Linked DNA regions of Nothobranchius furzeri. The protein of the gene in region 3 purifies or fractionates together with the protein of the main gene of each other region. This does not show direct contact. Links are inferred from orthologs where the notes say so. Each region holds a gene or a part of one and is shown on either strand. Other genes may lie near its edges.

Region 1 (3,146 bases), on a different chromosome or scaffold from region 3:
GGGTCACGTTTAGTTCCTAGAAATGGTGCAGCGGTATTATTCCTCCACCTGCTGGAGAATTCTAAAGATGTAAGAGAAGTTTTCTGGTTGGGAGACAAAATGAAATGGAAAAACGATTAGATCTAGATGGCTGAAAACCAGCTACTAACGTGTGTACCTACTATAGAAATGCACTCATTGCTCTTTAATCTTATTCCTTTTCTTATTTTCCTGAAGGGCTTTGCCACGCTGATCCGGGAGTGGCCTGGAGAACTTTACAACAACATGGCCATCGTTCAGGCCGTCACTGACCACCTGAAGAAGGATCCGACCAACAGCACGCTGCTCACCACGCTGGCTGAGCTGTGAGTCGCCTCAGCGCTCGCTTTCATCTAAGCTTCTTGTTAAGTTGCTGAACAGGACTTGATGCTTTCTCAGGTACACGTACGACCAGCGCTACGACAGAGCTTTAGAGATCTACCTGAGACTGAGACACAAAGATGTCTACCAGCTGATCCACAAGCACAACCTGTTCTCCTCCATAGAGGACAAGATCGTCCTCCTGATGGACTTTGATAAGGAGGTAACAAACCAACCTATTTATTATTTAGTCCATCTAAAGACCATTTATGTAATTAAATGTGTACGTTTTCATTAGAAAGCTGTTGACATGCTTCTCGACAATGAAGACAAGATTTCTGTGAGTAAATTTGACAGTTTTGAATGTCCTGGTAAGAACTTTGCTGCTAGCTGATGTCCATGGCTCTCCCGACAGATGGACAGGGTGGTGGAGGAGCTACATGGTCGACCTGAGTTGCTGCATGTGGTGAGTTTTCTGTAACTTGGATGTTTTAGGGGTTCATTTGAATTCATTGGTGCAGCGTGATGGCTAAGCCGTTTCTCTCCTAGTATCTCCATAAACTGTTCAAGAGGGACCACCACAAAGGACAGAAGTACCATGAGAAGCAGATCGGCCTGTACGCCGAATACGACCGGCCAAACCTTCTGCCTTTTCTGAGAGACAGCACTCACTGCCCTCTTGAAAAGGTACTGTGTGTTCCTGCCACCAGAATTACAAACAAATTAAGCTTCTGTCATTTCTTCTTACTTGAACTTTGTCGTTTTCATCCAGGCTCTTGAGATTTGTCAGCAGAGGAACTTTGTGGAAGAGACGGTCTTCCTGCTAAGTAAACATTTAGAAACAAACGCATCTGTTAAGGGAAACGTGAGAAACAAATGCAATTTTTTTTTCTCGTTCGTCTTTCAGGCAGGATGGGAAACTGTAGACGAGCCCTGCAGATGATCATGGAGGAGCTGGAGGACGTGGACAAAGCCATCGAGTTCGCTAAAGAGCAGGATGACGCAGAGCTGTGGGAGGACCTCATCTCGTACTCGATCGACAAGCCGCGTAAGACGTCACTTGACTCTGAACTTTTATCTCATTGTCTTTAACTCACTCCACCCTCACTAAACCCAGCGTTCATCACGGGCCTCCTGAATAATATCGGCACGCATGTTGATCCGATTCTGCTCATCTATCGGATCAAGGAGGGCATGGAGATCCCGAATCTCAGGGACTCGCTGGTGAAAATCCTCCATGACTACAACCTGCAGGTCAGGTGGCTTCTCTCAAAGAAAAACTCTATTTATTTAAATGTCTGCAGGTTGCAGACTGATTCTTTGGTGGCTTAAAGATTACATGACACACCAGGAGCTTCCTTCATGTAAAAACTTGTTATTAATCCATTAAGTTCTGCTTTTTGAAGAGTTATAACAGGTTTAACAGGTAATTTAATTGGTTTATATGGCATGAAATCTTCTGACTCACTTGCTTAATTACGCGCTTTTATTTCTCGACTTGTAGATTCTTTTAAGGGAAGGGTGTAAGAAGATCCTGGTGGCCGACTCCCTCTCCTTGCTCCAGAAGATGCATCGAACCCAGATGAGAGGAGTCCGGGTCGATGGTGGGAGCAGATTCTATTGCTAGTTTGTGTTGAACCAGTGCAGATGAACCCCTAAATGTGTTGATTCTGTTCATTCTTTCAGAGGGGAACATTTGTGAGTCGTGTCATGGTACTATATTACCATCAGGTGGGTTGATAATGTCATTGATCCCTGTGTTTTTTTTTTGTTTTTTTTTTTATGTTTACTGTATTAACAGCTTCATGTGTGTGTTTCAGACATGGCCCAGCCTTTCAGTGTGGTGGTGTTTCACTGCAGACACATGTTTCACAAGGAGTGTTTGCCGTCTTCAGGAATAGTAAGTCTGCATTCAAACACCTCTTTCCCAACTCTGGTGTTATTTTATCAGAAAACCTCAGGAACATCCTCCACTTTGTTCCCATTTTTACTTTTCCAGATTCCTGGAGTGCAGTTCTGTAACATTTGCAGTGCGAAGAGGCGAGGACCTGGAAGTGGAATACTCGAAATGAAAAAGTGACACTTTAATGCCCTCATGTTGTTGTTATTGATGCTTTTTGTCTCCTTTTTTCCCTCGTCGGTACGCTGATGAACAGGAATCTTTTTTCCTCAGTTGATGAACTGTACTCTCACCAAAATACAGAACTGTTACCCTTTATTTGTTTGCTAACTGTAAAGTGCCGTGTTTTGTCCAGATCACCTTGAATGTGATGAAGAATAAAATCACATAAACTCTGACTGTGTTGTTGATGCTTTATGTCATCCAAAATGCTTCTTAGGTTGAGAGTATCATAAATCATCAAAATGAGTTGCTGAGTGCATCACGGGAGTTTGATGCTCTCTACGGCCAATGCAAGAGCTACAGCTTCATTTTCTGTACAAATTTAAGTTCATTACTGGTTTGCGTCGATTCATCCAGGGTGTATCCTGTTTGTCTGGCATTCATGAACAAGATCTCATCTTGTAGTCGCAGAGATCTCATCTGTGCTTTATTGCACATCCTTATATAATTCAATTATTTGGGTGTCTAGTTGACAAGTGAGGACTGGATGGAGCAAAAGATGGGCCGGTGGATTGGGGCTTTGCAGTTGTAGCCGGTGCTTCATAACTTGTTCTTGTTGAAAGAATAAAAGGACGAAAATGCTCTTGATTTATTGGTTCATCTACATTCCCACCCTCACTGGTTTGGATAACCAAAAGTAAAAGATCCCAAATAAAAGCAGCTAAAATGAGCTTCTTTGGAGAAA
Region 2 (4,240 bases), on a different chromosome or scaffold from region 3:
GCAAAACTGGTGCTTCAAAGAAACTAGTGATCAAAAACTTTAAAGGTACTGTCCCTGAGTGTTTCTCTTTTTGCCGTAAAGCAGCATCGTTACTGGAACCATGGAGATCAAAAAGGTTGTTCTCATTTGATAAAATAACACCCTGAAAGGCTTTTCTGTATGACACATCTCTTGGGAGGGAGTGCAATGTATTTGATCTACTTGATGCACTGTTAAAGTTTTATTTTTGTGCCATAAACAGATTTGTATTGTAGTACCAAATACCTGCATTTTTATAACAATTCCAACAAATGTTACTTTATTGCCAAAATTCTGTCAAAACAAGGCATTTTAATGACTTTTCGATACTAAAATCATTTTAGACCTTTCATTGTTTTGTTACTGATCTAATTAATTTGACATGTACTTCTGCAGTGTAGTTGAAAAGCTATCATCCATCCATCCATCCATTTTTGTCTGCTTATCCCGGGGTCAGGTCACGGGGGCAGCAGCCTAAACAGAGAGGCCCAGACTTCCCTCTCTCCAGCCACTTGGGCCTAGCCTGGCAAGCCAGACTAAATAAATGTATTATTTGCAAACTTTGCAAAGCAAGAATTTGGTCTAGTTCACTAGGCTAACTTGGGCCAGCTTTTCTAAGGAAATCCCAAGGCATTCCCTGACCAGATGGGAAATGTAGTCCCTTCAGCATGTCCTGGGTCTTCCTTTAGGTGTTCTCATTGTTGGACATGCCGGAAAACCTCACCAGGGAGGCGTACAGGAGATGTCCTAACCAGATGCCCGAGCCACCACAACTGGCTCCTCTCGATGTAGAGGAGCAGCAAATTTACTCCGAGTTCCTCTTGGATGACTGAGCTTCTCATCCTATCTCTAAGGGAGAGCCCAGACACCCTGCGGAGAAAACAAATTTTGGCCGCTAGTATCCACAATCTCGTTTTTTTGGTTGCTACAAGGGATATAAAAAATATCGATATGGCAGTATATCAGGATATTTTTTCCAGCGATGTTATATCAATACTTAAAAGCCGTGTATAGAAAATATTGATATCACAATATATCGTGATATTTTTCCTGCAATATTGTATTGATTTTCAAAAGCTGTGTCTCTAATTTTTGGAAGAATTTACACGCAAACATTTGCGTATTTACTTTTCTTTTGGTGCAATTCAAACGCCGACCACTAGTTGGCAGCAGTGTGCAAAGGGTTTGTTTCCACCATTGAAATGTAAATCCCTCTATTATGGTTCAGATAACTCATGTTAAACATGTTCAGTATCAGTTTGGACTGTTTAATGAATTTTCTTACAATAAATTCAGTCTAAAAATATCACTAATATCGTCTGACTGAATGTATCGTGAGATATTATATCGCCTCCCCTGTATCGTGATAAGTATCGTATTGCTATAATTTCACCAATACACATCCCTAGTTACTACCCAAAGCTTGTGGCCATAGGTGAGGGTAGGAGCGTAGATCGACTGCTAGATTGATCAAAGCTATCATACATGTTTTCAAATCAGATGGAGCATAGATTAGTTAAATGTTTACAAAACAACGTTTGTTTTGAAGAGTTTTAACTCTGATCATTTTAAAGTTAATTTTATTTTATAAAATCTTCCACCTGGTGTTTCATGACCCACACCAACAGGATGAAAACACTTAGTTTATATGAGGTCAGTGCCAAAATGACATGAAAGAAGGGAAGTGACAGTTTACTGAAGCTGAAAATAATGTTTCAGATAGTAGAAATTATTGTTATTTTAAGCGTGATTCATTCAAACCTTTGAGTATTTATGTTTAGGTTTATGTATTTAGCAGACGCTTTTGTCCAAAGCGACTTACAAGTGATAAGTATTTGATTATTGAACGCCAAGTGAAAGATTATTTTTTAAGTATACTGCAATTTATAATTTGCACTGAACTATTCATTGATTTATAATAAGTATTTTTAAGGCTACAATTTATAGTCTCACATTTTTATCTTGCGGGTTGCCAAGCAAAGGGATTTTTTTGTCAAAATTACAGTGTGGGTTTTTTGTGCAATGACAATAAAGCAAATCAATCAAATCAATCAGTCAATCGATTAGTGGTAAACACACGCCTTATCTTGTCATTTCATGATGTTCTCTTTATAAATTGTGCAACCTTTGCTTTGCTTTGGTTACAGATAGGCCCAAGCTATCAGAGAACTACACAGAAGACACGTGGCTGAAGCTTCGAGACGCAGTAGGAGCCATCCAGAACAGCACCTCCATTAAGTACAACCTGGAAGAGCTCTACCAGGTTTGTCTGTTAAAACAAACAAGCTCAGTTTTGGGTTAGACATGTGACATCGTGTCAGCTGCTAACATGTCTATTATTTTTTCTTCTTGTCTGTGATGAAATATGTCACTGAAAGGCGGTGGAGAACCTGTGCTCCTATAAAGTTTCCCCCACACTCTACAAACAGCTGCGTCAAGTCTGTGAAGATCACGTTCAGGCCCAGATCCATCAGTTCAGAGAATATCCTTTTGACTTGTGCTCAGTCGTGTCAGACTAACCCCAAGTGTGGCTCAGATGTTTACAGCTTAAGACATATTTGACTATTTCTACCATCAGATGACCATAAACTCGACTCAGACTTCTGATAAATTTGACGTTTTTTCCTCAACTTGGAGCTCACAGAGTCTCTGGACAACCTTTCCTTCCTAAAGCGAATGAATCGATGCTGGCAGGACCACTGCAGGCAAACTGTAAGTGCAACGTCTGATAGATTTCCATATAAAAACTGTAGAATAAATGTCAGTAAAGCATAAATGAACCAACCTGTGTCCCTGTTTGTAGATAATGATCCGAAGTATCTTTCTCTTCCTGGATCGTACCTATGTGCTTCAGAACTCTCTGCTCCCCTCCATTTGGTAAACTCGGCTCGTTTGAGCTTTTCCCGGTCTGTCAGGATGCTCTCAGGAAGCTGATGCTGTTCATGTGCTGCAGGGACACCGGGCTGGAACTGTTCCGCACCCACATCGTGAGCGATGTTGCTGTTCAGAAGCGAACAGTGGAGGGACTTTTGGAGCAGATAGAGCTGGAGCGCAACGGCGAGACCATTGATCGCAGCCTTCTCCGGAGTTTACTGGGCATGTTGTCAGACCTGCAGGTACACCATCTCCAGTTTATCACATCTGTAAATGCACAGGAAGATTATTTTCCAACAAATCATCTAACCTAACAAAAACATTTTAGGTTTATAGAGACTCGTTTGAGGAGAGATTTTTGACTGAGACAAATCGTCTCTATGCAGCTGAGGGACAACGGCTGATGCAGGAGAGAGACGTGAGTGAGATGATAAATTCGTCTGTTTATCATGCGGTTAAAGTAAATTGTGAATTAGCAGTGTGTGCGTGTGTGTGCGTGTGTGTGTGTGCGTGTGTGTGTGTGTGTGCGTGCGTGCGTGCTCGTGCAGGTACCAGAATACTTGCACCATGTGGCTCGACGTTTAGAGGAGGAGAATGACCGAATCATGAGCTACCTCGACCAGAGCACTCAGTAAGATCTGGAACTGTCACAGCAGGATTTATTCACCCTTTAGCAAGGCTTAGACCCTGGAGCAAATATTTTCTGATAATTCTAGCTCTTTGAGATTAATCAGAACTGACCAAAATTCACAGAAGAAACCAGAGTCGACACACATCAATATGGAAGCAAACATATTTTTACAGTCTTTAAACACGGTTAAATAAATAATAATACAGGTTGGATATTTTTCCGATTTGATAGACTAAATTAGTTCATTCTGATGTTCTTGTATACAAAACCTTGGATCACAGATGTCTGCTGTAGACGATCCTTTTCTCCAAACTGTACAGTATTGTGTGTGTATCTGTTGTTTCCTGTTACACACACTTAGTTTTCCTTCTTTCTTGTGTTTTCTTTTTGCTCAATTCACAGGAAACCTCTCATTAACTGCATTGAGAAACAGCTTTTAGGAGAACATATGACTGCAATCCTGCAAAAAGGTACATCTGTTATTGTCAGAAGATAAGCGATGGTGTGAAGCCGTGTGAGATTCTTCAGAAGTGGTGCTGATGTGGATGTATCGCCTATAACTGGTCCAGCTGGGTTGAATTTATGTAATATAATGTCCTCCTTGTGAAACACAGCAGTCAAATTCCCAAAACTCTGTTTACAGCCAATCATTTTTAAAGAAAGCTCTGTCTGTTTACATAAATCTCGCTCTAGTTAATTGTTTTACACGTTTTATGA
Region 3 (4,224 bases):
CTTATATTCAAACATCTCGCCTCTGATTGGCTAACAGCTACCACTGACTCCATTTGCATTGCTCCACAAACAACACAAGCCTGAAGGAGTTCTGCTATGATGCGGTGCTGTAAATGCTAACGGTTGGCTTCTACTAGCCGAGACGTGCTCTGCTCTCTCCTGGATGCTATACCAATAACAGCCTTCCCCATCGTGAGCCAAGATGGGTGTGTCCATGAATGCTAATTTGACAATATGATGTGGAATTGTCAGGCTTTTCTAATCCAAGCGTTTCCCTATTTTTATCAGCTGCTAATGCAGGAAATAGGGGTGGTAGACTGTTTTCAGGTTTAGCCAGCATGTTAAACTCAGATTAACCGATCATATTTCAAAAATAACCAGTAGAAAGGGAACTCAGAGATGAGTCAGGGGTTAGGGGAAGGGGTTGGACAAATTCCAGTTAGTTTATATTTGGCTAAAGTTTTAAATGTTAGCTGTTAGCTTGTTCGTCTGTTCAGAACTAATCTCTGTTTCTCCAAACGGAGACCATTCAAATAGATAATGAAGTTATATAGCAGATTAAAATTTTTTTCAGGCCATGTAAAAATGCAAATGCTCAATTTAAAATTAAACAAAGGCATAGGTAGGTTTTCTGATTTGTTAAAAAAAACCTTTGATGACAATTTTGAACGTCTTCCTTAAAACACTTGTGAACATAAATCAATAAAAGCCTACAGCAGACAATTAGACTTGAAGGAGTAGGGCTGCATTCCATTAGGAAGATCTGCTCATTAGTGTTTTACAGAAAACCCAGCATGCAGAGCTACAGAAGTGGAAAGCAGCCATAATTGAAAACATGTGTTTTTTCCCCTTTTCTTTCAAAATAAAATAAGACAGTTATGTTATCTGGTAGGAATTAACACTAAGAGGTGCAAAATCTAAAAAAAACAAAAAAATTAACAAAAAACAAAAACAAAGGAAAACCAACCTCAAACGCTGCAGAAATGATTTTAGCCTTTTTGCTGAGTGCAGCACCAACAGCATTGAAATTTTTGTCCCGGATTTCTGCATACAGCTCTTCTGCTGAGTTGAGCTGTAACTTCTTGGGCTCTGTGGGTAAATCTTTGCTAGCTTCTCCTTGCTTCTTCTGTGCAAACTTCTCAGGAGGAAGCTTGACATATCCTGTCAGACGGCAAAGAGAAAAAAAAGGAAGAACTGTGCCTTTAGCAAAAAATAATTAAGTAGACTAAAATATATCATTGAAATAGAAAATATATTAAACATTTTTATGTTTTTATCTCACACAAAAATAGAACGATTCCAAACGTATGATGGTGCATTCTGACCGTTAGTTATTCCATAGATTTCATCAATGAGGCCTTCGTAAGTGAGCTGTGTAGCTAGAGGTGTGAGCAGGTCAATGTTGCGGTCCAGGAGGAGAAGAGTGTCAAACACCGGCAGAATCTGATTCTGAGTGCCAGCAAACTCCCTCTTCATCCGCAACATCATGTTGGCAACATGCTATAAAACAGAGAATATCTGTCAGGAAAAAGGTCTTTAATCTGCTCATTATTAATATTAACATTGTGTGTGTAAACAGTTTTTTCCAGTTACTGCACAGATCATTGGGTTTACTCACCCGTGCACAGTCTCCCTTCCCAAAAATCTGTGGAATGGTGCCGTAAAGCGCCTGCAGGGTCATGAGACCTTTGGCTGTGTGGTACAGGCTCGTCAGGTCATTTTCCAGGTAGCACTCCTGAATGAGATGAAAGCAAGTACAAATATGAAATGGTATGCAAAGATATACTCAAACACATAAAATAGAGCAGGAGGTTCTGATGTTGTGACTAAATAACACTCCATATTTGTAATGGGAAAAAACTCACCCTGAAAGCACTTTCATACTCCATAGAGAGCAGGTCTCCATCATAAGGAATCAGATCCAGGATGTACTCATCAATGTTGGTGAAAGAGGCCAGCACGCCCTGCTCTTTCAGCCGCTGCTCACACAGCATGCTCCGCCGAGGCACAAACAAAATGTGGAAGTCTCGTGATGAATGCAGCTTGCCTTCACTGAAAGGTGCACGATCCAAGATGCAAATGTTATACTTGTAAGGATTTCTTTAAGGGAAGATGTATAAACTGGTTGCTTATAACAGTGAGGGGCACCTGAATATATTGTCAGCAATGATGTCCATAAGCTCCAGCCTGGGACGAACAAAGAAGATGATGTTTTTGACATCAGCAGAGGGGAGTCTGCCACTCTTGAGGGTAAACATTTTTTCCACCTCATGTTCCTGAAAAACACACAAAAAAATGAGCAATAGAAGTGAAGGCTCAGGCTGTCAGATCTACTTACATTGTGTTTTATTTTAATAATCTGTAAAGGGTTAGGCACTTACCTTCAGCAGAGAATACTGAGCTATTAGTCCAAAAGGTCCTGTCAGATACTCATCCCAAACTATGGCCTAAAGAGCAACAACACATCATGTATCCATGAAAAACATTTTATTTATGGAAACAAGTTTTAAATCAAACTTAAGCTCACACGCGCATTTGCCCGTGGTCGCGTTTCACGTTGGTTTAAACCATAGACTGTACTGTAAACGCGACACAATCCGTCTAATTTGTCAGGATCATGAATACATTTTTGTACAAATAAGAAAAGACTATTTCCTTTTGATATTTTCCAGCGTCTGTAAGTGACTTTATTTACCTTACTTCCCGCGCATTTGTCCAAAAACTCTCGAAGTTCTTTTCGTGCCGCTTCTCTTAAAATGTTTAAATTCACTCTGCCGTAGGACAGATGAGCAGCCATTTTTTTCTCACAACACAACACAAAAATCAGGTGACTTCGGCAGGAAGTCAAAGTCACATGACCAAATGCGTCACAGTACTGACAAGACATTTAGGAAATTAAAATAAAATAAAAATTCAAGTTTAATTCAGCTTCATGTTAGTAGACTTTAGTTATATTACGTAGGTTAAAAAATTATATTTTAGGTCTAGAATAATTTTCTGGTGTCCCGGAAGTAAAGGAGGATTAGATAAAATCAACTCCGTACTGTTTAAAAGAGCTTTGCCTCAGTGTCACATATTAAATTTCTTTGTATGTCAACCACATGTAGACGATAATGCACCGAATGAAGTTGCTTTTGTCTCGGGTTTACAACCAAGGAAGTATGAGGAGTGAAACGTCTTGGTATCATTTCCTTGAGTGTAAAATTCAGAGTGACCGTTAGATGACGCAATTTTCCTGCGAAACAAACGCGCGTCTGCGGTCAAAACAAAGCACTAAACGTCTTTATTTTAGGGACACTTATCTTTGAATTTTAGGGTCCGTTTTTGGACATATGATTGTTGTAGCCAAATCAACACGAGACTCAAACTGTATTAAGACAAAAATGATCAAATTTTTAAAGTAAAACATTTGTTAGCGGGCAAAGTGTGTAATCCAAATTAAGTGGAATAAACCCCCCACAAATAATTGATTTCTAACGGAATTACAATACAACTTAAACACTACTGTACAGTTTATTTATTACTGTATGTTTATACATGTATAAACACAGAAAAGCGTTAAAAGGCGCACCACTGCAACTGCGTAATCAAAATGTCAGTGATTTCTCAACTGGAGTGCCTGCATGTTGAGATAAATTTAGACACTTATAAAGAAAACTGGATCAGGTGGTGACTGCCCACTTATGAGCATCATTGTGTTATCACTTCAGATCCAGGGGTTTCCTTCCCACGGTACCAAGGGCTTTCCAACCATCCTCCACGCATAGAAGACCGTTTCCCACGCATCGGGGTGATCTGCAACAGACAACTCCTCCAGCCAAATAAATAAATAAAATAAAATAAATAAATAAAGCACGGTTTTGGTGACAGGCACCATGCGCAATGACTAACTCTATGATCGGATCCAGGCTCTGCACAGAAATCTAGTCCGCTCCGTTCCCCGACAAGAGGAGAGGAGGCAGGGCTGGATTCTCAGGTAGGCATCACCATCTCTCTGCAAGGTTTTCTAAACATTGCATCTTCACCATGAGCATTGTTTTCATATTCTAATTTTGCGTTATGTCAGGTGATACACAGAAATGTCTCAAGTTGAATGAATGCAGCGCTTCATTCAGAAGAGAGGGAGAGTGAGTCATCTGTGTTAACACGGAGCATATTTCCTACCCTGTGTTAATTTGATGGAACAAAATTCCTTGTCTTCACGAGCCAGTTAAACTGATTGAT

What was found.
Region 1: the proteins of vps33a (region 3) and vps41 purify together in Homo sapiens (affinity purification with mass spectrometry; 5 studies listed by BioGRID and IntAct, counting the BioPlex papers as one, with this or other methods). This does not show direct contact. The link is inferred for Nothobranchius furzeri from reciprocal best matches to the Homo sapiens genes VPS33A and VPS41.
Region 2: the proteins of vps33a (region 3) and tgfbrap1 purify together in Homo sapiens (co-immunoprecipitation; 5 studies listed by BioGRID and IntAct, with this or other methods). This does not show direct contact. The link is inferred for Nothobranchius furzeri from reciprocal best matches to the Homo sapiens genes VPS33A and TGFBRAP1.

What each region holds. Positions count from the first base shown.
Region 1 is NC_091747.1:46,098,384-46,101,529, forward strand, and holds the end of vps41 (vacuolar protein sorting-associated protein 41 homolog), read left to right. Parts: intron 1-216; coding exon 217-344; intron 345-417; coding exon 418-562; intron 563-637; coding exon 638-679; intron 680-754; coding exon 755-805; intron 806-888; coding exon 889-1,026; intron 1,027-1,111; coding exon 1,112-1,166; intron 1,167-1,246; coding exon 1,247-1,387; intron 1,388-1,456; coding exon 1,457-1,593; intron 1,594-1,843; coding exon 1,844-1,943; intron 1,944-2,025; coding exon 2,026-2,070; intron 2,071-2,159; coding exon 2,160-2,239; intron 2,240-2,338; coding exon 2,339-2,419; 3' UTR 2,420-2,637; downstream 2,638-3,146. UniProt on the Homo sapiens protein: Plays a role in vesicle-mediated protein trafficking to lysosomal compartments including the endocytic membrane transport and autophagic pathways. Acts as a component of the HOPS endosomal tethering complex.
Region 2 is NC_091749.1:37,400,022-37,404,261, reverse strand, and holds the start of tgfbrap1 (transforming growth factor-beta receptor-associated protein 1 homolog), read right to left. Parts: upstream 2,912-4,240; 5' UTR 2,896-2,911; coding exon of another isoform or gene 2,822-2,895; 5' UTR 2,804-2,821; intron 2,731-2,803; coding exon of another isoform or gene 2,662-2,730; intron 2,502-2,661; coding exon of another isoform or gene 2,397-2,501; intron 2,282-2,396; coding exon of another isoform or gene 2,166-2,281; intron 46-2,165; coding exon of another isoform or gene 1-45. Other genes in the region: cul4a (cullin-4A), read left to right, coding at 1-45, 2,166-2,281, 2,397-2,501, 2,662-2,730, 2,822-2,895, 2,972-3,134, 3,221-3,310, 3,441-3,523 and 1 more. UniProt on the Homo sapiens protein: Plays a role in the TGF-beta/activin signaling pathway. It associates with inactive heteromeric TGF-beta and activin receptor complexes, mainly through the type II receptor, and is released upon activation of signaling.
Region 3 is NC_091757.1:37,278,779-37,283,002, forward strand, and holds the start of vps33a (vacuolar protein sorting-associated protein 33A), read right to left. Parts: upstream 2,848-4,224; 5' UTR 2,798-2,847; coding exon 2,696-2,797; intron 2,448-2,695; coding exon 2,382-2,447; intron 2,277-2,381; coding exon 2,149-2,276; intron 2,053-2,148; coding exon 1,866-2,052; intron 1,736-1,865; coding exon 1,619-1,735; intron 1,501-1,618; coding exon 1,326-1,500; intron 1,162-1,325; coding exon 968-1,161; intron 1-967.